4 linked regions of the Arabidopsis thaliana genome follow. The protein of the gene in region 4 interacts with the protein of the main gene of each other region in a pairwise test. Each region holds a gene or a part of one and is shown on either strand. Other genes may lie near its edges.

What was found.
Region 1: the proteins of AGL62 (region 4) and AGL80 interact in a two-hybrid assay, tested with the Arabidopsis thaliana proteins (one large-scale study listed by BioGRID).
Region 2: the proteins of AGL62 (region 4) and AT5G26630 interact in a two-hybrid assay, tested with the Arabidopsis thaliana proteins (one large-scale study listed by BioGRID).
Region 3: the proteins of AGL62 (region 4) and AGL92 interact in a two-hybrid assay, tested with the Arabidopsis thaliana proteins (one large-scale study listed by BioGRID).

The regions. Positions count from the first base shown.
Region 1 is NC_003076.8:19,736,250-19,742,430, forward strand, and holds AGL80 (AGAMOUS-like 80), read right to left. Parts: upstream 3,593-6,181; 5' UTR 3,542-3,592; coding exon 2,576-3,541; 3' UTR 2,397-2,575; downstream 1-2,396. Other genes in the region: AT5G48660 (B-cell receptor-associated protein 31-like protein), read left to right, coding at 737-1,022, 1,705-2,078. UniProt on the Arabidopsis thaliana protein: Probable transcription factor. Controls central cell differentiation during female gametophyte development. Required for the expression of DEMETER and DD46, but not for the expression of FIS2.
Region 2 is NC_003076.8:9,347,452-9,353,336, forward strand, and holds AT5G26630 (MADS-box transcription factor family protein), read left to right. Parts: upstream 1-3,360; 5' UTR 3,361-3,363; coding exon 3,364-4,020; 3' UTR 4,021-4,169; downstream 4,170-5,885. Other genes in the region: AT5G26640 (anaphase-promoting complex subunit 11 RING-H2 finger protein), read right to left, coding at 390-444, 590-723.
Region 3 is NC_003070.9:11,320,430-11,327,110, forward strand, and holds AGL92 (AGAMOUS-like 92), read right to left. Parts: upstream 3,748-6,681; coding exon 2,490-3,747; intron 2,400-2,489; coding exon 2,263-2,399; downstream 1-2,262. Other genes in the region: ROPGEF14 (RHO guanyl-nucleotide exchange factor 14), read right to left, coding at 6,045-6,401, 6,474-6,681. UniProt on the Arabidopsis thaliana protein: Putative transcription factor.
Region 4 is NC_003076.8:24,302,313-24,309,743, forward strand, and holds AGL62 (AGAMOUS-like 62), read left to right. Parts: upstream 1-3,068; 5' UTR 3,069-4,016; coding exon 4,017-4,340; intron 4,341-4,632; coding exon 4,633-5,208; 3' UTR 5,209-5,404; downstream 5,405-7,431. Other genes in the region: AT5G60430 (antiporter/ drug transporter), read left to right, coding at 74-328, 541-756; ARF4 (auxin response factor 4), read right to left, coding at 6,246-6,414, 6,497-6,687, 6,782-7,431.

The sequences.
Region 1 (6,181 bases), 4.6 Mb from region 4:
ACCATGACAGCTTGCACTCCTCCCACGATGGATCAAGTCTCTAACTCGGCTCCTTAAATTCTTTCCAATGTTTTTTGGTCTCTTTTCTTGTAAATAACCTTTTGTATATTGAATAAATTTGATATACTAACCAAAAAAATCCACAATTCAATGGAAAAAAAAAAACAGATGCAACTTTACCATTGCTTCGTCATCTCTCTTAAAAGTAAAGCAAAAGGACAAATTTATTGTTGCTTTTACAAAGGCATGAGTAGTTTTAGACTTTAGAGTAGAGTATAGAGTTCACTCTTAAATTTTAAGTTTACATAATTAATTAGTACACCACTAATCACAACCATTGATCTCCCTCTCTCTCGCTAGATTAGTACTAAACAACATTTATACCTTTATGCTTTCTACTGAACTTTTCTCAGATCCTTCTTCACTCTTCAGTGTTTCCTCTCTCCTACTAAAACCTTCTTCAGTTTCTTGAATTCAATTCTTCTCTTAGTCTTCTCCATTTTATGATTTCTTGGTGGTATCAAGAACTCAGTGACCGATTTCTTGAAAAAGCTAATGAGTTTTAGATAAACTCGTTGCTTGCTTTCTCTTCATTCTCCGATCTGGGTTTTGGTTTTAAATCCATACCCAAGTAGCAAAACTAGAAGACAAGAGCTATAGAAATTAGGGTTTAGAGTTTACCTTATTGGTGAATTGTGGTAAAGGAACAAACTTTAGGGGGAGAACTCATTCAGACATGATTCAGTTACTGTTTCTAGTTCTATTTGTGGAAGGTGCGATTGCATTCTTACTGTTGATAAAGATTGGTCCTTTGAGAGAGCTTGTGATTAAAAGTCTTGACCAGATGAAGATGGGTAAAGGTCCTGCCACTGTGAAAACAATCGCTGGAACTATGTCTGTTATTCTCTTTTCTAATCTTATGAGCATTGTCAAGATCCAGAATAAAGGTGCAAAGCTTGGGACAATGTCTCCTATGGATCAGGTTCTTTGGAGAACACACTTGCTTGAAGCTTCTTTATTGGGTCAGTTTCTCTCTTTTTTTCTCTTGATGTGATAAAAATTGAACCATAGGGCTTTGTTATTTGATTGTTGTCTTGATTTGTCTTTAGCTGTTGGCTTCTGAACAACAGTTGAACCATAGGACTTTGTTGTTTGATTAGTTTTTAGTTATGGTTTCTGAACAAGAGTTGAAATCTTGGCTAGACTTTGTGTTGATCATGGCTCTCAAGTAGGGCTAATACAGCTTTTACTGAATTCTTGTAGGCTTTGTTGTTCATAGAGGAATGATCTGAATAATGCAAATTCGCAAGCTTAAGTTGAGTGAGCACTTCTGTAAGAAGTTAATAATGTTTTGATTAAGAGTTTGTATACCAATTGAGTGGATGGTGGTGTCGATGTATAGAACCACAGTACCGGTGTTTTCGTATCGCACATATGAATATATCTATAGTTGTCTCCAAGGCTCTGTTCTGCTAGTATTCACCAGATTTGAGAAGCTGCTTCGGTAGTTGATAAGTTTGGAACCTGAATCCTTATTAACAGTAACAAAATACTTCCTTTATTGATCTTGATTTGTTGATTACAGTGCATTCACATATGATCTAGCTCTTAGCTATATGTAACACATAAAAATGTTGAGCTATATAAAGTGTGTAACATAATGAAATTACATTTGAAGCTAAAAAATCTTAATGATCATTGCAGGAGTCGTACTTTTTCTCGGCTTTATAATTGACAGAATGCATCACTACCTCAGAAAGCTAATCAATTTGAGAAGCAACGTCGGATCATCGAAAGAAGAACTTGAACAGCTCCAGAAAGAAAGAACCGAACTGAAGGAGAAAGAGGAGAAAGCATCCAAGGAAATCAAGCAGTTGCAAGTAAAATTGTCATCTATTACAGAGAGACTAAAGAAAGCAGAGACTGAGTCAAAAGAGAAAGAGAAGAAACTCGAAACTGCTGAAACACATGTTACGGCGTTACAGAAACAGTCTGCAGAGCTGCTTCTAGAGTATGATAGATTGCTAGAAGATAACCAACATCTCCAAAGCCAAATCTTGGGGAAAACCAAGAGCTGATGTTAAGATTGTCTGGTGTTATTTAACAATGAGAGAGTTTATAGAGTATTGTAGTTGCAGGAATTCTTGCAACATTTTTGTTTTTAGTGTATGGATATTGAATGGTTCTTGTTTCTTCTCAAGTCTTTGGAATGTTTTTGTGACGACAATTATATCAAAATCAGCGTTGAGTATGACAAAGAAAGAGAGCTAAGATAGTTAATTTGTAACTAAAACCCGTTTGGTAAGAGCTTTTCCAAGCTTGGTTGACATATTTGTGGGGAAAAACACATATCACATGGAAAAATAAACAACAAAAATAAAAGTATCACACATCTACGACTTTAAAAGGCATAATTATTGCAAAACTATAATAGTAAAGATAACACAGTCACAAACTCACAACTTTGAGAACATAAACTGTAATGCAATTTATTACACACAAAAAAACTTAAAGCTGATCATAATTTCACTTATCAATTCATCCAAATTATTGTAATATAACATTTAACAAAAACCTAATGGAACCATGTTTTATTGGTAATACTTGAACTAGTAACAGGGATGATGCTGCTTGAGTTGGCGGCATCAAGAGCGTTGGAAGATTCGTCATGGATCTGATGTTGGTGCTCCTGTGGCTGGTGATGGATGTGGTTGTGGTGGTTATCATCCATGAATTGATATCCCATTTGCTCTGTCTGATACCTCATTTGCTCAGGATGGTTCATCATTTCCATAAACCATTCTTGATTTTGATTATAGTTCTGATTTAAATTCAGATTTAGATTTTGAGGTTGCTCATTAAGTCCAACATGTTGAGCCGCCGGATGACGAAATTGTTGAAGATCAATAGGATTAACAAAATTCGCGACAGCCGCAAATGAGGAAGAAGAACCCACCTCATAAATTGTAGTGGTGGGAGCTGTTGTAGCGACCAAATTCGGCATTGGTATATTCCCTTCAGAAGCAGCTACCGCAACAGAAGAAGATTCACCAATCTCCGTACCAGAATTTCGTAAAATCTCAATCCTGCGATTAACATCTTTAAGATATTGCTCAATCATATAACCCAAATCATTAAGATCCACAATATTCAAATGAAACATCTCCATGTTTCCAATCAAACATTGGAACATGACTTCAGTCATCTCTAGCTCCCTACTATCCTTTCTTTGTCTCCTCAAAGTTTCTGTCGCTTTCGCGATTCTTTGTTTGAGAAAACCCTCTTGATCTACCATCTTTTTGTGTTGATCCATCTCTGGGAGTGTCCTAAATTCTGAAACCACCCTTTGCACACCGGAATTTGATGGCCACACTTCAGGGTTGGTATCATACGGGCTGTAGATGATCGCACATGCAGTGATGCCACAAAGAGTCGAGAGTTCGTGTACCTTCTTCATCAAACCCTTCTTTCTTTTTTTGAAAGTCGCTTTTCTTGAAGAATCGTTGGAAATGTAAGCAAGTTTCACTTTCTTTCTTGTCATTGAAAAAATATTTCTCTTTGTTTTTTCTTTTTTATTTGTGTATTTTGTTTTGAGATTGTGAATATGTACTGTTATATATATATAGTAATGAAAGGGTACAAAATTTTGTTTCTTTTAGTAAGTGACATTTAATTTTAGATTACAGGTAGTCAAAAAATATAAAATATTTACTGCTAATAAAATTGTGTTATATAGGGTATCTTTTCTTTTATTACAAGAAAAAAATCTAAACGTCCAAATCAAGCTTAATGCATGAACATTATATTAAAAAATCTGAATGGATTTTAGATACAGATGAAAACCGTTTTTCATTTTACATGTATTAGGACTACTGGTTTGACATATGAAAATACTATTGTCCAAAAGTCATAGATAAATATTGTATTAATCTAATATGAGAATGATAATATGAAAACAATAAAATAGAATAAACAATTTTACTTTTTAACAACAATAATCAAGAAATATCAATCTAGTAATGTTATTTAATCAAAATGCATTTAGTACAATTATTTAAAAATATAATTTCAAATATTGTGATAACTAGTAGGATTTGGTATTATAAGATAGTCAAAGATTCTGTTTCAATATATTTTTGTGATTTTTTTCTTTACTGGAAACAATGAATATAGGTTATTGAATGATCTAAGCATCATAGAGTTAATCTAAAAAAATCGTTTCATAAATCTCATGCTTTTGCATAGATAGGAATTTTACAATACACACTAGATTTTAACCCGTGGTATACCGCGGGACGATTTATTTTTTAAAAGTAATATATATTAAAATTTGCAAATTTTATTTTTATAAAATATTTATATTTTATAGTTTATAATTGTTATTAAGTAACGCTATACCACGAATCCATGAGACAATTGTTAAAAAACTGAAGTTGTAACCCCTATTAAAACAACATATTAATAATATTTTAAAATTTTATAAAAATTGATTCAAATACATCCACCATATAACCCAATTCCAAAATAAAACCTGTTCTATAATTTATTTACCCGTCCTGTGATTTTTCTTTTAAAGTAATAATTTTTAAAATTTAAGAATTCTTTTTTATATATATAAGTTTTGCAAATTGTATCATTCTCTAATACATTTATAGTTTATAATTTAATTTTATATATAGTAACATTATACATACCACATAACATTTTTGGTTTTATATAATTTTTTCTAAATTAGGATGATTTGATATGTTTAATATTAGTGGTCTTAAGAAATAATAAATTAAAGATTTAACCCGTATTGAAACGGTGGATTAATTATATTTTACTTTTTTATTAATGTTGATTCAAAAACCCGTCACTCCAAATCCGTCTTGCCAAAAAGCCATTTATTTTATTAATATTAATTTTACTAATGATATGACTCTGAATTATAATTTAAATATTTTAGCTGATAACATAGGAGTAGACCATATTTATTTAATAGGGGAATGTACCATATGACCCGAATGCATTTTTACCCAAATCCACCAAAAAAGTTTTGCAAAAATACTATAAAGATAAGAAACGATAGTCGGTTTTGATAGGTATAAGATTAGCAAATATATTAGTTAGTTTAAATTAGTTAAAGAATACAAACTTAAAAGGAATATTACACTTTATTCGAATATAGTATCAAAACTTATATAACACAGAGATTTGATAATTTTTTAATTGTTGAATACTTTTTTTGTGCTAATTTTTATGTGATTAAGATTTAATTGATTTTGTATATAAAATATTAAATTGTTTTACGAACTTATTTGTTTATAATTTGGTAACAGATAAATATTTGAGTATTCAGTATATTTTGCTTCAGTTTAGGAAATCTTTGATGATCCGTCTTTAGATCCAATAAGCCCTATAATCTAGATACTAACTTGTAGTATACCGCATGTAGGCTTATATTTTAGTTAAACTAAAAATTTTTATCGTAAAGATGATTTAAAAATATATGATATTATTTTATTTGATTTTAAATGTATAGTAAACTGTGAGTTGTATATGTTTTGTTGATATTATCTATATTGTTTAGTGTTTAAGATTATACACTTGTAGTTTGATTGTTAATTTAAGAGTTTCACCTGTAGTATACCATCTTGTATTAATATCGATCTAAACCCGTCAATTTTAGGATTTTTCAGCTTGTATTAAAAACTGAATCACATCATACACATAAAAAAATCTAATATGTTATTAATTATTGTAGTATATAAGATTATAAATTTTCAATATAATATGTATGAAATTAAATATAAATATTTCAAATTATGACCCGTTACTCAGTAGAAATATAAGTTTTCTTAAATATATTTTTCACCCGTTATAATATTTTTTCATGTATTGAACAGTTTATATTTGTTTTTAAAAATTATAATTATGGCATATGCGAAAAAACTCTAATTATTTTTTTATAATGATGATATTATTTTTTCGCAAAAATAGAATCATATAAAGATGAGAAGTGAATTATAATAATTAATAAAAAATTAATATGATAATTTAGATATCAAATCTAATTTGTTGATTTTAATTGGTTACTTTTTTGGAAATTAATAATGTATTTCATTTTTCTAATTAAATCAAATTAATTAAAATTTAGATATCAAATCTAATATGTTAATTTTGATTGGTTATTATTTTT
Region 2 (5,885 bases), about 15 Mb from region 4:
TGAAATATCATAATTTCGATATTATTAATTTATAGAGGTTAAGCTTTATTAATTTCTAATTTTTTACTGTTATAGATTCACTAATTTTTCTTAAAAGGAGCATGTATATTCTCAAAATTAGTCGGATGTTAAAACGAAAAAAATTGAAATTGGGTGCTAAATATTAAAAAGAACAATATATCCATGAAACAAATTATCTTTCTTTTCTTTAGCCACATGTCATGAACCAAAATCTCTATTACATTTTTGTTGCTATTTGTAGTTGCTTCCATTAATATTCATACAAAGGTCGAACTTAACTCTGATTAATGATTTATTACATCTCTATAAAGTGGATACAAAGCTAGATGTCTAATCAAGGCGCAATATAAAATCTCTCTCTTCCCACTCTAGTTACTCTTTATATTTCCATCTTCTACGACACATAGGGCAATGGCCATAGCTCTGATACCATGTAATTGTATGAATCTCCGTGAATGGAAAGTTATGTATTGAACATATATATATAGGGTTACATGAGATAAGCATAAATCTGTTCATAAGATATTAGATATATACAAATATAAGATTCTCATATATCTAATCTAACAGGCAATAATCCCCGAGGAGTTTACTTAGAGGGCAATCATCCTCAGGGAGTTTGCAGTCAGGACAAGAAGCATCAAATGGCATCCGACATAACCCACATGTCTCATCTTGAGCATCCCATGTACCCCATGCCATCTAAAGTTTCTCACAATGTAATAGTTTTGGTGTATGAACCGTAAGAGAATCCAACAAAGGATTATTGAAATAGAAAATAGTCAAAATGCTATAATTTGAAATAGTTCATTAGAGCTTTATTGTGCAAAAATATAAAAAGAGGGAAAATAACTTAGATTGTCACCAAAACAAAGAGATTGTGGTTAATATTTCATAAAATGGATGAACGAGAGTTGTTTACATCTTTTAGACACATAACAATCCTATTTATATCACTTTCCAAAGAAACCCTAACACACATAGGCTTACAATAACACACATTAGATTTGTTTTGGATTTGTGTTTAGCTTTTAATTCCCTTGAATGGTCTTACATAAATTAAAATTGCATGTAATACTGAGAGTCAATGAATTTACTCTGTTTTTGAGTTTGAAAACATTGTAACACTGAGAGTCCATGAAAAACCTGTGTTTGAAAAAACAAATACTAATTGCAGGCGCATTGATCAACTGATCTTATTCTGCCCTATATGAATCAGTTGAGAGTTGATAAGAAGAATCCTCATAAGAAACTACTAGAAAGTCATCAACATCACTAACCAAAATACTCTTGGGCTTTCCAAGTCCAATCTAACTTCCACATTAATATGATATTGTCCGTTTTGGGCTAAGTGGCTAAACCCTCACAATTTGTTTATTGGGCTCCTAAGGTTGAATAGTGGAATATAGATTTAAACAACTTCTTCAACAGGTTCAAGAAGATTTCTTTTAAAGTTTTAGATCTAAACAAATATGTGGAGACAACAAACAAAAATCCAACGTACTCGGAATAATCTGAAATTTGATAGCATGTTCGGGAGACGAGAACTAAGGGATCAAATTTTGGTTCAGATGGTGAAATGAACTAAGTCGTTTTAGGAGTTAATTCGTAAGCTTATTGAACTATGTTTGGTTAAAGTTACTAAGTTTAAATTTCTCGTTCTGTTTTTTAACCACATAATAACGAATATTTTACATAGAATAATATAGAGAGAGGATGAGGAAGAAAGTGAGAAAATAACGAGGAAGATGAAGATGAAGACTATAACGAAGAAGTGAACGAGAAAGTAATGATGACAACGGCTAAAAGAAAATTAATAATTAAGATGACAAGAATGAATATGAAAAGTAAGAAACAACGAATGTGAAGAGAAATACAAAGACATATGTGTTGACATTCAATTGAATATGAAAAAATAAAATTGATTTATGATTCTTTCAAATAAATTCGATTCTTAAACACTACTGATTTTTATAATTTTAATATAGTGTATTTGAAATAAAATTGAATTTTTACTTCGATTTAAAAAATATAATTAATTGTATGTATTTCTTACCGAAATATATCAAAAATACACACGTATAGCGTGGGTACAAAACCTAGTTACAAATACAAAGATTAAATATGTGGGCGAATCTAATTATTTTGAATGGTTTATAAATGCTAGTTCAAATCCACATGTTAGATTTTGAAAATTTCATGGCATTTTAAATTTTATATAGATTTCAAAATCTTTGGCAAAAGGTAATAATATAGATTTCCAAATTAATTAACATACACAAACTAATACTCCCTCTGTTTTGAAATAGTTTTCGTTTATGGTGTTTTTACAGAAATTAAAAAATCAATTTTTTTTTATTTTACCCTTGTTTAATATTTTTTTTATTGGTAATGACATAAAAACAATAAGAATATAATTGGAATTTTTACCAAACATCTACATTAAAAATCTAAACCGATAAATATTATCAAACAAAATTTTAATGCTAGAACGAAACCTAAACTAATACGGAAGGAGTAATATCCTCTTAAGAATGTTTTTTTTTTAAATTACTTCCGTAGTTACCCTTTAAAAACATTTTTTTAATTGATTCTTGACCTTTTTTGTTATACTTTGTTTGCAAAAAAAACTTAAAAAATCTTTATGAAAATGATTTTTCAGTCAAGATTACCCACCACAATATAAAGTAAAATCATCTAGATATATATTCTATGTATGTTCAAACTATGTAATATTTATCTTTATTATATGTAGATATGTTTTCCATACATATAACATTTCAGAAAAAATAATGATAAAAATATTTGTAAAGTAAATGTTTTCCACATAAGATATGTTTGGATAATTATTAGTAATAACAATTATTTTAAAAAATATTTTATGAACCAGATAAAGAATAGTCGTTCGGTCAACTGGTCATGGATAAAAACTATTTTAAAAACTCAGCACTATAAGACTATAAGTCTATAAGTCTTTTTGAACAAGTGTCAGTTCTTGTTATGCAAAATTTTGGTATTAAGAAGTAACTATACCCAAAAGTTAACAAGGACAATTATTCAGTTAAAGTGTAACTATACTTTTCACAAACAAACTAAAAAACTTGTAACTAGATTAGTAGACTCCTTAATTCCTAAGTAAAAAATAAAAAATTGAAAAAAAAATTTACTTCTAAACATATATATATTTCTTTCCATTATCGTATTACCAATTTTGATATCCCTAAAAAGGTATGATATATATATGGTTGAACTGAGATAAATTTTGCTTAATTCCAACAATCAGATCTTCTATATAAAAAGCACTTCTCCATTCAAAAGTATAACACACAAAAAAATAAAGTCATGACGAGACAGAAAGTGAAAATGACTTTCATAGAAAATGAAACAGCAAGAAAATCAACATTCAAGAAAAGAAAGAAAGGTCTTTTGAAGAAAGCTCAAGAGTTGGGAATTCTTTGTGGCGTCCCGATCTTTGCTGTCGTCAACAGTCCGTACGAGCTGAACCCGGAGGTGTGGCCATCGAGAGAGGCTGCGAACCAGGTGGTGTCCCAATGGAAGACGATGTCGGTGATGGACAAGACCAAGAAGATGGTGAACCAAGAGACCTTTCTCCAACAGAGGATCACCAAAGCAACCGAGTCTTGGAAGAAGTTGCGGAAAGAGAACAAAGAGTTGGAGATGAAGAACATTATGTTTGATTGTCTTAGTGGCAAAACTTTGGTTTCTAGTATCGAAAAAACTGAGCTTCGAGATTTTGGTTATGTCATTGAACAACAACTCAAAGATGTTAATCGTAGGATCGAGATTCTGAAAAGGAACAATGAACCATCTTCCGCCCTCGTTCCTGTTGCTGCCCCTACAACATCTAGTGTCATGCCTGTGGTTGAGATGGGTTCTTCTTCGGTTGGATTTTACGACAAGGTTCGAGATCAAATTCAAATTACTTTGAATATGAAACAGACCACAAATGATTTGGATCTGAACAAGAAACAGTGGTGAGCCATCGTTGATCTTATTTTAAGTTGTTGTCATTTCAACTATCAATAAAAAGTTATTGTTTTAGTTCTGTTTGTTTAAGTTACATGTTTGGGTTGGTTTCACATGTAGTTGTATTTTCTCATGAATGAAATTTATTTTTCTTTCGTTAATTAATGTTTTCTCCTTATATATAATCGTTATGAATAAATGCATGCATCATATCAGTTCTTAAAACATGTTTTCTATACAGTAATGGCACAAGAATTGCATTCTCTGAACATAAACACAAATGGAAACCAAGCCATTGTGTCCAGTCTCAAATATTTGTAATTTAGATCCATCACTTTTCGACAACCAAGCTCGTTCAAGATTTAAGAGGTTTAATTCTGTATAAAAGGTCGTGATTTAAGACTTAACACTCCATTAAGTTTGAATAACATTGAACTAATTGAGGTCAAGTAAACCTAAATAAGAATTTATTCGCCAAAAACAATATGTTGATAACTAGGTTTGGCAATAAAATATTCAGATTTTAAATTAGGATTTTTACTAGCCAAATTGCGTAAGTTGAGATTTTTATTGGGCAGAATACGTATAATTGATTTTGCCAAATGAGGGCCAACATTGATAAACTTAACACTCCATTAAGTTTGAATAACATTGAACAAATTGGGGTAAAGTAAACCTAAATAAGAATTTATTCGCCAAAAAAAATAAGTTGATAACTATTTCTGGCAGTAAAAATATTGAGATTTTGTATTGGCCAAATTGCGTAAGTTAGGATTTTTACATGCCAAATTCCGTAAGTTGGGATTTTGATAGGCTAGAATGCGTATAATTGATTTTGCCAAATTAGGGCCAACAGTAATCAAACTTAACACTACATTAAGTTTGACTAACATTGAACAAATTGGGATAAAATAAACCTAAATAAGAATTTATTCGCTAAAACAAATAAGTTGATAACTATTTTTAGCAGTAAAAATATTGAGATTTTGTATTAGCCAAATTGCGTAAGTTAGAATTCTTACAGGCCAAATTGCGTAAGTTGGACCGCCAAATTGTGTAAGTTGGACCGGCCAAATTGCGTAAGTTGGGATTTTGATAGACAAAATGCATATAATTGATTTTGCCAAATTAGAGCCAACATAATCAAACTTAACACCCCATAAAGTTTGAATAACATTGAACTAAATGAGGTAAAGTAAACCTAAATAAAAATTTATTTCCCAAAACAAATAAGTTGATAACTATTTTTTGCAATAAAAATATTCAAATTTTGTTTTCGCCAAATTGCGTAAGTTAAGATTTTTACTGACCAAATTGTGTAAGTTGTGATTATTATGGGTCAAAATGTGTATGTTGAGATTTTTTTTACCTTTTCTCATTTGACGAAGGTAATATAGTTAGTTGCTACAAAAATAGTTTTATTTTTAAAGTTATAATAGGGACAACTGTATTCTAAAATATAAAGTTTAATGAGTAATAGCCAAAGGTTTGCATAACCAAAATAGAATCTTGGTTTGAGTGGGTAATTATATTTTTTATAAAAAATTTTTTACTAGACTCCATAATTGCTATCTAAAAAATGATAATCATAGTCGAATCACGAATGGTAAACCTACTTTGTCAAAATAGTATACTCTCTTTGTTTCATATTAAAGGATGTTTTACATATTTTATTTAGGTTCACAATATAAGATGTTTTAGAAAATATATGTATAAGCATTTTAAAAAGTGACCAACTTATTCATTTTGACCAACTAAATCATCATTTTTAATTGATTTTTCTGAATTAGAGACAACGGTTTAAGTTTAAATTAAATTGAACTAATTCAGGTCAAGTAAACCTAAATAAGAATTTACTCGCCAAAACGCGTAAGTAG
Region 3 (6,681 bases), on a different chromosome or scaffold from region 4:
AAATTAGTTTAGAGATAATTTGTTAAATCATGCATATATTATACCTTTTGGAGAATACTTTTTCTTTTATTGGGTTAGAATATTTCATTGCATTGCCAGCTAATTATAAGCTGTAAATAGGGAAATTAAAGATTTTAGACTACGTATAGAAAACTTCCAGTTGTTTTTACATACCCAAAGAAATATCTAAACTTTAAAGTATTAATATTTAAATATAGTTTAATTATATATTAATTTTTGGTTTAAAAGCAAAAAATGAACCAATTAAAAAAAGACAAGTGTAATATACCCAAAGTTCAAGTTAATATACCAAAAGTTCTTATTTAAGAACCTTTCTCTTATTTCTCTCATACTTTTTTTGTGTGGTATGATTATAATGAGAGAGAATCCAAAAAAAATGGAGGTCTAACAATAACCAAAAAATAAGAAAAACAAGAATGCACATCGTTAATTAGACTTTGTTTGACTGGTTCTCTTCTTATCAATTACATTTACAAAATGTAGAAATTTCTCTAAAATAAATAGCATATTTATTGATTTTTGATTAAATGTTTTCAAATAGTTATAAAAATACTATAGAGTAGAAGATATTACATGAGAGAATGGTAAATAATTCAATCCAGTAGTAGTTTAATTTCCATTCTCTTTAAATGCTAAATTTTATTTCAAGCTCACCGTATATTTTTGGCTCAGATAATAAATAACTTTCATCTGCCATAAAACACTAATTTTCATGTTTATTTATATGTTTAGTTAGGGGCGACTTAAGCTACTTATAGTTATAGGTCATGTTCAAAAGTTTAACTATAGATATCTTAAATAAGGTCCATATATATACATAAGAACTTTTTTTGGTAATCACGATCCGTTTAATCTATGTATTTAATTTACACATACTAAAACAATTCAAGGTATAGTCGATCTTATCTGAACGTTGTAGTAAGCATAACTGGTCACCAAAAATATGTTCTTAGTTGAAGTACACACTTGAATCCAACCCAAAAAACCTCGTCAGTGTTGGGATGATACACGAAGTGAAGCCTATAGTTGAAATAGAACGCTAGGAAGCCATTTTTCTAAAAAAAAATCTTAATGAATACTTAGTAGGTGATAGGTACAGATAGAGATACATTAAGGCTTGTGTTAATTTCAAATTACCTTAGGCCCATAATATATGCATATCCTAAAATATACCTTATTTTCTTAATATCTCAGCTTTTTATTTAAAATTTTCAGAAGAGCCAAATCAATTTAACCATATTCAATCTTAATACAGTCTTTAAAACGGTTTTTAAAGGAGAAGCTTCAGGTGGCACGCATCGAACTAGGAAGACCCTCTAAATCAAGGAGAAGTATCAGAAGGCACTTTACTTAAACACCACAGTCTACTGCTTCTACTTGGAGTTGTATTCACTGAATTACCTGCCTTAGCAACTGCAAACAAAAAATAGAAAACCAGTCTCTGTCCCATCGGAGAGGCCTTACACGGGACCAAAGCAAAGGCCTTTGGGGTGCTCTTTAGGGTCACATGAGCTAAGGATGCTACTCGGTGGTGCAAGGGAGTTATAACTCTTTCAAGATTTCTCCCATTCTTGAAAGAATCCAGAAAGCAAGATTCGCAAGTGTTCGGGAATATGCTTCAAGAAGCCCATGCATGACCAATGTCCTGAAAACAAAGAAGAAGGATTTAATATCGACAAATAATTGTATTGTAAAGTATGACATGTTTCAGAACATAAACTAAGAAAGATGTAATTAGTTCTGTTTATGTTTACATTGCCATATTGGATCTTTGTGGCATTAAGAAACGAGTGAGGAAGATTAGAGTGTTTGGATTTGATCTGATTTCTAAGCGCTTCTTTTCGGTTCAAGAGTGATTCACTGCGACCAATTTCAACAATGGTTCTCCTCGTATATATACTCAATGGTACTTCTCCTCCTATATATACAACTTCCGTCCTGAACTCTCTTCAAAATATTTAATCATATAAGTATTTAACCATAATGAAGGCTTGAAAAGTATTGATGTTTTTTGGAAACAAAATCCTATCTGATTTTGGCAGATCTATTTAGTTATGCATTTTAAGAACAAAAAGCTCGTAAAAAATAATTTGTGACCAAACAGAAATGACTTCATTGAAATAGAACTGACTTAAAGGTAAAACCTTCAACTCTTACAACAACTAATTGAAAAGGAAAAGCATAATTAAATACTGGTCTTTTAAAACAAACAAAACACAAAATGCACACTACTGAAACACATCACACATTGTTGTTGTTGTTGTTGTTGGTGGTGGTGGTGGTGGTGGAAGGCATGTGACCGGTGGAAGTAAGACCAACGGTTGGTGGCTGGTGGTAGTTGTAGTAGTTTCCGTCCATGAAAGGGATGTGTGCATGCTCTCCAACATAACCCGCTTATTCATAAGGATATTCTGTCAACATATTCATGAATGGATCATTTTGAAACGGATACTGATTTGGATCCAAACTCATATTCTGGTTCAAATTCATATCATAGTTTCCTTGTTGAATCTGATGATTAAAATCAACAGGAGCTTGGTATTGAACCGGCTCCTGTTGATTTTGATTCAAATTCATATTCTCAAACTGAAAATGATCACTAAAACCAGTAGGGACATAGGGCTGAACCGGCTCATACTGATTCTGATTCATAGGAAGACCGGCACCTGCAACACCAAGAGCTTGGTAGTGAACCGGCTCTTGTTGATTTTGATACAAATTCATATGCTGATATTGAACATTATCACTAAAAACAGTAGGGATATAAGGCTGAACCGGCTCATACTGCAACTGACTCATAGGAAGACCGCCACCCGCGACAGCAAGACTCTGGTAGTGAACGGGCTCATACTGATTCTGAGTCATAGGAAGACCGGCACCCGCAACAGCAAGAGCCTGGTAATGAACCGGCTCTTGTTGGTTTTGATTGAAGTTCATATTCTGATATTGAATATGATCACTAAAACCAGTAGGGACATAGGGCTGAACCGGCTCATACTGATTCTGGTTCACATTCATGTTATGAAATCCAGTAGGAACATTAACCGCAGCTTGATCTGCAACAACAGGAAGATTGGCACCCGCAACAGCAAACAGAGGAGGAACAGTTACCGCAGCTTGATCAGCAACAACAGGAAGATTGGCACCCGCAACAGCAAACAAAGGAGGAACAGTTACCGCAGCTTGATCTGCAACAACAGGAGGATTGGCACCCGCAACATCAAACAGAGGAGGAACAGAAGAAGAAGACTCACCATATTCTGTAAGGAACTTCTTCCTGGCATTAAGCTGATTAAGATATTGATCAGTAAAAAGACTTAAATCTTGAAGGTCCCTTGCACCATACTGTTGCTCACTCATCTTGCCTCCAACGCAATCAAACATAAAATGCTTAAGCTGAGTTTCTCGGTTTTCACGACGTAGACTCTCTAGTTTGTTTTGTTCTTTGGTGATTTGGTCCCGCAAGAAAGTCTCATGACTCATCATCGTCTTGGACCGTTCTGTCGCCGGCTTCTCCATGAACTCCGAAATCACCTCTTGAACACCTTCGGTTGACGGCCACACCGTTGGATTCTCGAACGGACTGTAGATTACCGCACATGCTTTGATGTCACAGAGAGTTGTCAGCTCGTGGAGTTTCTTCCTTATCCCTGCATTCCTCTTCCTGAATGTGGCTCTCCGAAAGTGTCTATCAGGTATGAGTACTAACTTAGTCTTCGTCCTCATTATCTTTATTTTTCTTTTCTTTGGTGTTTGTGTTTGTTTAGTTTCTTGGCCCAAGACTGTTTATATAGCAACGAAAAGGGTGATTTTTTACTCAGGGTGTGGCTTATCACGTTTCTGGACTCATTAATTTGTAGTTACAGCATTAAATCTTTTGGCTACTGTCTTATTAATTGATTAGGCCACTAATTAAAGCTATGACTAAGATTGGATTCTCTTTTCTCTTTACTAAATATAGTTTATCTTCGTATATTACTCACTTTTCTTTTAAGAGTAATATTAAGCTTTGATAAACTGTGAAAATTTCTAATATTTTAAGTGTTTTTCTTTTCTTTTCGAATAGAGTTTTACAGCTTAATTTCCATGTAAAATCATGAATATATAAAAGCTTAGGAACTTTGTTTATCTATAGTAAAATTATTTCGGGAAAGAATTAACGTGTCTTACGAAATATTTAGAACGAGCGAAAATTTTGAAATATGTAGACATTAAAGGAAGCCTACATAGAAAAAAGTTTGTAAACCAATATAATAAAATAATAAATATCATTAAAATTTCTATCATGTTTTAATATATAAAAAATGCTCTTTTATATGTATAAAAATTTATCTTTACAATAATAAAATATAAAAAATAATAATAAAGTAATAAAGAAATTTTTCCTTATAAAATATTAAAATCACAGATTTAGTTATATGAATTAAATTTTTAATAAAATATTTTTAAAAAATCTGCCATGGCCAGAAGGTCCATCTAATTTTGTTTAGTCAATAAGTTGATTTTAATTAAAAGGAAATAAGGGTAAAACTGTCTTTATACATTAATATAATAATATATATGGATTTTTTCCATCTTTTGACTTATACACTAATATGACTATTTATGACATTAAAACGTATCAATTAATGTACACGTGTAAAATCATGATTGGATATAAAAGAAAATCAGTTATTTTAGAGATAAATTATGAATTCATGCATATATTATACCTTTTGGAGCATATATTTTTCTTAATTTGGTTAAAATATTCATTGTACTGCCAGCTAATTATGAGCTGTAAATATTTGAAACTAGAAATTTGACAAGAGGTTTAGAGCACTTCCAATGGTTTTCACATATCCCAAAAAAGTATCCCAACTTTTAAAGTCTTAATATTTTTAATAATTTTAATTTAAAAATAAAAATGAACAATTAAAAAGAGACAATTGTAAAGTTCTAGTTAGTATACCCAAAGTTCTTATTTGAGAAATTTTCTCTTCTTTCTATCTTAAATTTTTTTTTAGTTATGATTATAATGGGGGAGTATCTTATTAAGACCCTCCAATAATTTTCATTTTTATTTATATGTCTAGTTAGGATGTTTGAACTATATATATAGGTCATGTTCAAAAGTTTAGTTAAAGATTTTTTAAATATGGTAAAATAATCTTTTGAAAAGTTATAGGTCCTTATTGAGTTATATGTATATGAAATTTTTTACAAGAACAGTTTTTTGGTAATCAAGATCCATTTGATCTCTATACTTGCTATATTGAAAACAATTATGGTCTGTTCGATTTTCTTTGAGTTAGTAAGCATAATTGGCCTTTAACAATATTTTGTGTTAGTATCGGATGGCACAGTTGAACTTAAATCCAACCCAAAAAACCTCATTAGTGTCGGGATGATAGACGAAGTGAAGCTTGCCATTTTGTTATACTTATTAGGTAGTATGTACAAACGGAAACTCATTAAGGCTTTGTGCTAATTTCAAATTATCCTTAAGCCCATAATATGTACATATCCAACCAAGATAGATCCCTTCTAAATGAAGACTTCTTATACTCCAATCTTGCTAGTGACTTAATGGAAGTGTGCAAAAGATAGTGGCTTGGTGAAAATACCTGTTAGTTGATCATTTGTCGAGATGACAGCTAATGCTTCATTCAAAGATGGAAGTCGGGATAGTAACCTAATTGAGATTCAAATTAGATTTCAAGAAAGTAGTAATTAAAATGATTCTAGTCTAGTATATTATAAATAGATTATGGTTTTGGACATTTTTGTTTTGAATATACCTTATTTTGTAAAGTATTTTCTGGAAGAGACTAATAAATTTAATCATAATCAATCGTATCAATTTTTTTTCCCGGATTAAAAATTTGCTTTTCACCGTGAAGTTATGAACAAAATTGTATGAATTCGTACTTTAACTGCAATATGTTAATACATTTACAACATCTCAGGCTTCATAATTTAAAACCTTCAAAGTAAAGGAGAAGCTTCAGGTGGCACGCATCGAACTAGGAAGACCCTCTAAATCAAGGAGAAGTATCAGAAGGCACTTTACTCAAACACCACAGTCTACTGCTTCTACTTGGAGTTGTATTCACTGAATTACTTGCCTTAGCATCTGCAAACAAAAAATCTAAACCAGTCTCTGTCCCATCGGCTTTGTTCATGTCATCGGTTAAAGAATGCCTTACACGGGACGAAAGCAGAGGTCTCTCAGGTGTCCTATAAGGGTCACGGGAGCTAGGGAAGCAACTCGGTGGTGCAGGAGAGTTAGGGTTGCTTAAAGAATCTTCTTTCAAGATTTCTCCCATTCTTGAAAGAATCCGGAAAGCTAGATTCGCAAGTGTTCGGGAATATGCTTCGAGAACCGCATGACCTATGTCCTGAACACAGAGAAGAAAGATGTTTCAGACCATTGGACTAAGAAAGATGTAGTTAGTTTTGTTTATTTATACCTTGTCATATTGGATCTTTGTAGCATCAAGAAACGAGTGAGGGAGATTAGGGTGTTTGGATTTGATCTGAGTTCTAAGCGCTTCTGCTCGGTTCAAGAGTGACTCATTGCGACCAATTTCAGACAACGGATCTTTAGCGAATGACCACGATGCTCTTACAGGGGATTTACCATTGCTGCCTTGTTCTGTAATCCTTTCTTTCCAAGCA
Region 4 (7,431 bases):
TGCCGTTGTTTTTACGCAGGAGTGACAAACACTTGGTCAGATTGAGATTTATGGCATTGGTTCTGATGTTGAGATGCTTAGAGAAGCTGTTTTGAAGAATGGAGGTGGGTGGCACGGGCATGGGTGGGTTGGTGATGGAAAATGGATTGTAAAGAAAGGTAATGTTAGCTCAACAGGAAGATGTTTGAGCTGCAGTGAGCAGTTAGCTTGTGTAGATACCAATGAGGTAGAAACACAGAAGTTTGTGGATTCTTTGGTGGCTTTGGCTATGGAAAGGAAGGCAAAAATGAATTCATGTGAGTCAGATGTGGTCTTCAGCGAGTTTCAGGTTAGAGAAAGAATTGATGATTCCTTGATTCTCTTAGCTTGCTTATAATAAGTCTTGGACATTAAATATTAATGAAAGTTTACTTTTTGTTTAGTTAACTTTGATAAGCATTTAGAGATAGGTATAGTGCTTGGAGTTTCTACTGCGAATTGTCATCAATCTTGAGTATTCAAATGTCGATATTTATTGAATGTTGCTATCTTATTTGGCAGGACTGGCTTGAGAAACATGGAGATTACGAAGCTATAGTAGATGGAGCAAATATTGGGCTCTACCAACAAAATTTTGTAGATGGCAGTTTCAGTCTTTCACAGGTTCTCCCATCTATTTTATGTATAAAAATATCAACAAATTTTCTTTTTTTTCATTTTTTTTTTTGTTTTAGAAACCCACTTAAGTATTCCACCAATGGACCACCAAATCTTTAAAAACTCTAAAAAAATCTCTAAACTACAAAACTATCCAAATTTATTAATAAAAAATACATAGAAACTTTATTTAGAAACTAATCACTGGACTTGCTCTTAGTCCCATGATTTTAGAGAGACTAGCCTTTGAGGTTAATGTGGGAAACTTTTGTTCCTATAGCAGTTCCTTATGTTCGAATGTCATGTATCATATCATATGATTGGTTTATTCATTCCAAAGAATGATTTCGTGAGGTTTTGTTTTTGTATCAAAATATTGATTTTCCGTGGTATATTTAACGCATTTTTATTTTCAAGATCAATCAATTAATTTATGCTTTTAAATTTACAATAAATCAAAGTACATCATTTATTATTTTCAAGATAAGTGGAGCAAAAAGCAACTTGAGATTAACTTTTTAAAAGATATAGCACAAAAATAATTAATCAAAATATATAATTTATAATTTTCTAAATCTTGGTGAAAAACTCAGGAATTCATTATTTTAGGGAGTAATAATATAAAATATTGTATGATTTTCTTCTATATGATTTATTAATTATTTTAATTGGAATTGCATCTCGGCAATGACACAACGATGATTCTAGCAAATACCGCTAGGTTATTAGTCATGGTCTAAAGACTTCAATATTTTATATTATTTTTTTACATTTTATTTGATTAAACTAAAACCATTTGTATTTTTATTTTACATACTAATAAATATGTTACCAAAGAGTATAAAAGGTCTTTCAATTATGTGTATATATTAGTGAATTTTTCTAATCCTTTGGCAGTTTTCTATAAATAATATTTCTTAAAGTACGCAAATATGTTTATATAGCAAACAGTTCTCAAAAATATCACACTTAAGTTTGATCTTTCAAAAATACTACTTAAGTTTTTGGTTTTCCAAAAATATCACAAAACTAAATTAAATTTTCAACTTTCAAATCCTAACCTTAAACACTAAAATCCTACCCTTAAAAACTACACCCTAAATCTAAAATAGGTAACCCAAACCTAAAATTTTAAATTTTGAACTCTTGGACATCAATTTGTTGTTTTGTGGTATTTTTGAAAAACAAATTTTTTTTGGTAGTATCTTTGAAATATTAAACTAATAGTGACATTTTTGGCAACAAAACTTAAAAAATGTGGTATTTTGAAGAATTTATCTTATATAACAAATATACAAATTAATAATTACTGCAAAAGTAGTTTGTCTCGTCTAAATTTTATGGATTATATTTGTAGAAAATTATTGTTTCCTTTTTTAAATTATTTGGTATATTAACTATTTAAAAGTTTCATAAATAAGAATTTTAAGATATTTAGTTCAATCACATATTTCTAAAGATCTCATATATATTTATTATTTTATGATATCAGTATAACTATATTTACCATAATATTTATAACTCTAAAATCAATTTCAGAAAATATACCAATTAACTATCAAAAATAATAAGTTAACAAAAATCATTGTACCTCAGATAAAACTTTAATACTGTAATCAATACTGAAAGTTTTTAAGATTAATCAATTCTATCTAGTTCAGTATTATGATAAGATTCTTTTAAAGATCACTATTTTATGCATACTTTAATAAACATGCCCGTATTATATTATCATCGGTAAAATAATTTTAATTGGAGATATTATCTGAAACAACTACCATTTCACTATTTTTGGATGACATTTACATTCTACATAGATAAGTTGAATATTTCATATTAATTACTATATAATTGATATTTTGTGTAATTTAAGAGAATCTGGCTTCAAATTATCAAAAAATAATAAAGTCATTCAAATAATTTTTATCAATCCATCAAATGAGATAGGGGAGCTATAAATATTATTGGAAATAAGATATCACCATTTTATCATAAATATATGTTATTATCAGTAACAAATTTATCGCCAATAACAATAGAGGAATGTATTCCATTATTATTTTAAAAACAGAGTTAGTAAGTAATGTAACGGCATATATCTATTGTCAATTTATCAGAAATAATAATGAATTTGGAATGGTCTTCATATTCTATATAACGGTCCAAACAAAATAATTCTATCTTAAAGCTCTCAAAATTATAGTGTTATCTCATGGTATCCGTTTTTGACGATTTTCATTTTTTCTGTATTTATCACATAAATAACTAAGTTTTCTATATTCATAAAGGAACATTATTTAGTGCAAAATTCATAAACTCATTTCATCCGATAAACAATATATCGAATGTTTTTCCTTGAATCTAATCTTTTATAATATACTCTCTTAAAATAAATATATAAATAAACTATTTTTAGATGATAATTACATCATATAAAGGTTAGTGTGTATATATATATAAAGAGAGAAGGATATATGTGTATGGAACACAAAGAAATAGTTCATAGTCATGCCGGGCTTAATCATATATATATCTCAAACCTATCACAATTGTGGCCGAGTTGCTAGAATCACATAACAATTTTATCATAAATATTTTTCATTAGTGATAACAAATCAATCGCTAATAACGTAAGAAAAATATGTTCTATCTAAAAAGTAGCAAAGAATATGATTGCATAAATAATGTAACGGAGTATATTTGTTACAACAATTGCTAAAAAAATCATACAATCATTTTATCATAAATAGTTTTCATTATCGATAATAGATCAATCACCAATAACGAGAGAATACATAAGAAGACCCTTTAACAAAAAAAAACGAGAGAATACATGTTTTACTTTAGAAAATAGCGACAAATAATTTCAGATAACAATATAACGATTTTTTAATATATTAAAATATGAGATTAAGTTTAGAATATTAAACAATTAACGAAAATGATGTATCAGTAAATCAAAAACATATTGACCATATTACGCTTGTTACTTGTTAGTAATTTTTTTTACGCCGCCATTTTTGTTGCTATATTTAAAAAAAATATTCCAATAATATTACTATTAGATATGAAAAGATCACTACTAATTAAAGGTGGATCTTTCTGGCAGATTTGGATACATTGTACAAATGAAATGAGAAGATAATAGTCAAATAAATTTGTATTGCATACCATATATTGATTGAATATTAAGATTATGAAATGTTACAAAAATAGTAAAATTCAAATTCAAATAAAAATATAATAAATCAAAGTTGAAATTTACTCATAGACAACTCAAATATTAATTATTTGGTTTGTAATATTCTGCTATAAATACATGAGCATTTTCATTCTACAAACACCAATCCTATATTTTAGCTTCTCAAATATCACTAAAAATGGTGAAAAAAAGCAAAGGTCGTCAAAAAATAGAGATGGTCAAAATGAAAAATGAAAGTAACCTTCAAGTTACTTTTTCAAAAAGAAGATCTGGACTTTTCAAAAAGGCTAGTGAGCTTTGCACACTTTGTGGTGCAGAAGTGGCCATAGTTGTGTTCTCACCTGGTCGAAAAGTCTTTTCTTTTGGTCATCCAAATGTTGATTCTGTAATTGATCGATTCATAAACAATAACCCTCTACCTCCTCACCAACACAACAACATGCAACTTAGAGAAACTCGTCGAAATTCGATTGTTCAGGATCTGAATAATCATCTTACTCAGGTAATCTTACTCTTATTTTTAAGTATGATTAAAACAAAATAGTGTTTTCTATGAATCATAAAACCCAAATTTCTATGGTTAAATTCTTTTTTTATTTAATATATATAAGTAAAAGTTTTCGCAGGTGAATAAATAATATATAAAAAACATTAGACAGTCTTTTTCTCCATAACTAGAATAGATTTATATCCTAATAGTATGTTAGATAAAAATGCCGATGAAATGTTATAGAATCATATGGTATGAAAATTAATAATATTATTGGTGTTTTTATTTGTATATATATTTGCAGGTGTTGAGTCAATTAGAAACAGAGAAAAAGAAGTACGACGAGTTAAAGAAAATAAGAGAAAAGACAAAAGCCCTTGGGAATTGGTGGGAAGATCCCGTTGAGGAACTTGCGTTATCTCAACTCGAGGGGTTCAAAGGTAATCTTGAAAATTTGAAGAAAGTAGTTACAGTCGAAGCTTCCAGATTTTTTCAGGCAAATGTTCCAAACTTCTATGTGGGAAGTTCTAGTAATAATGCTGCTTTTGGGATTGATGATGGTAGTCATATCAACCCTGATATGGATCTCTTTAGCCAAAGAAGAATGATGGACATAAATGCCTTCAACTACAACCAGAACCAAATTCACCCTAATCATGCATTACCACCCTTTGGAAACAATGCTTATGGTATTAATGAAGGGTTTGTTCCAGAATACAATGTGAACTTCAGACCAGAGTATAACCCAAACCAAAACCAAATCCAAAACCAAAATCAAGTTCAAATCCAAATCCAAAACCAGAGTTTTAAGAGAGAAAACATCTCTGAATATGAACATCATCATGGTTATCCTCCCCAGTCTAGATCTGATTACTATTAACCCTTTGTTGTGTGATCCAACTTAAGTCTCTAGACAAAAAGTTGTGTGTTTAGGTTATCTTTATTTCTTCTTATTTATGTTTCTACATGTGTTGTTGTTGTTTTTCTTGTTCTTGTTTAAGTATTATGTTGTATTGTGTTGTTTCATTTCAAAATTATGTTATTGCTATATATAAATTATATGTGTCGGAAACAAATGCATTACGCCTCTGAAAATACTAGTCTGCCATGGTTACGTTTACGCATTTTGGGCAATTGCAGAATTTTAAACACAGAAAGGTAATAATCATAATCAATCATGTACTATTTTAAAATAAATTTGCAAAAAAGCATAATGAAAATTTCTGTGTGCACCATTTTTCAACTAAAATAGTACATACATTATCCCACATATTTTGGTACATTGTAAAAAATGAAATGACAGCATTACAATGGCTTTCCCTCTAATTTCATTCCTTATAATGATGAAATACAGATATTGTGAAATATTCCTAAAATGATAAAAATCTAATTCTAATATAGAAAATATAATAAAATTAATGTTAAATTTAAGGAAAATATAATAAAATTAAGGTTAACTTTTAGTTGAAAAAAAGGCTAAATCTATGTCACATCATTCTATTTAATTAATCCGTGCAGTATACTCTAATATTTATTTTCCTTAAAAAAGATTAAATCATCATCAAATATCTAGTATGTATTAGATATCAATCTAAAAATAAATAAAAAAATTGTAAGAACAATACAAGAGTATCCACATATGTAAGAACTTAAGAAATGAAATTTTCAAAATCAAGCAAAATACTTCAAAACTAATATATATATTGTAATTTTGAAAACCTTAAAATCCAATGGCATGCTTTACACATCCCATAAACTCACATATCTCTCGAGTAAAACGGTACACATGAGACATCCATGGAGACCAGAAGAAACACAAACAAACACATAAATGGATTCAAAGACAAAGATAAAGTTGAAGTTCTTTTGTGAGCAAAACACACTTTAAAACATAGGAAATAAGCTTCTTTATGGGTATCAAACCCTAGTGATTGTAGGAGAAGAATCAGGCTGGCTCACAGAAGATGACTTTGATGCTTCCATCATGAGAGCAGCTTGCTCTAAACAACTCTTGTTATCGTCATTCGCATTCTCCACTTCCTCTTTCGTGTATAAGTGTATCTTCCACACCACATTGCAGAAATCACTATCCATAGCAGAAAGCCAATTTCAAGTTAGGAGAAAAGAAGTTGTGATTGACCTTTAGAAGGTATGTATAAAGAACTTACTGCCATGGATCATCGCCAACGACCATCATATCGTTCTCACTATCAGTATATAAGATCCTCCATCCTTTTTCAGGATCCCTGAGAAGCCCTTCCATGTTGAACAGCCGTTCAAGCTCCATAAGGAGATCATCATACCCGTTAAGTCGCGACAAATCAATAGCTCTCCCCACTTGGCTTCCTTGCTTGTGAACCTTTTGATAACAATTCAACACAAGAACTGATTAGAAGAGACATCTAAAACTGCAACTCAAAGTAGCCAAAGAGATGATAAAGAAAACGTTTTACCTTTGTACAGATTCTTTTGCTCGAGCTTTGCGGCTTAGATGCAGGTGTCTCCACTGGTAAGGAGAATCCGAAAAGTTTACATCCTGATGAAGCATTCATATTCAACTCACTGCCTTTCTGTTTTCCCATCATATCAATCTTGAATGGCAAATCAGCTGTAACATTATTTGGTAGGCCACCTTCATTTTGTGCATCAAACTTTCTAGTCTCTTCACCAAAGTTTATTGCACGTGAAGGGGGACCCGAGGATTGGTTTCCCGCATTGTATGGATTCTGATACGGAACATGAGTGCTCCTAATCCCATGCAAAGCTAGCGGATAGTAACTTGACTTGTTGGCTTGGTAAGCAAAGGGATTAGGAGCAGCAGCTGGACTGAAACCAGCAAATTGCGGGAATGATTTAAGCGAGCAAATTTCTTGACCTTGCAAGACCCTTGGAAACCTATCCAGGTCCATAACACCTGAACAAGCTGGGTTCACGCCAGTAGCATCTACAAACTCACCAAATCGATCCTTGACTCTACTCGACACAAGAACTGGATTTGCATGAGACTGCATCGCAAAATCCAGTATCCGGCGGTTCATAACATCAAACCCCTGTGAGGGTGATGCAGAACCTATATTTTCTTGACCTTGCAAGACCTTAGAGG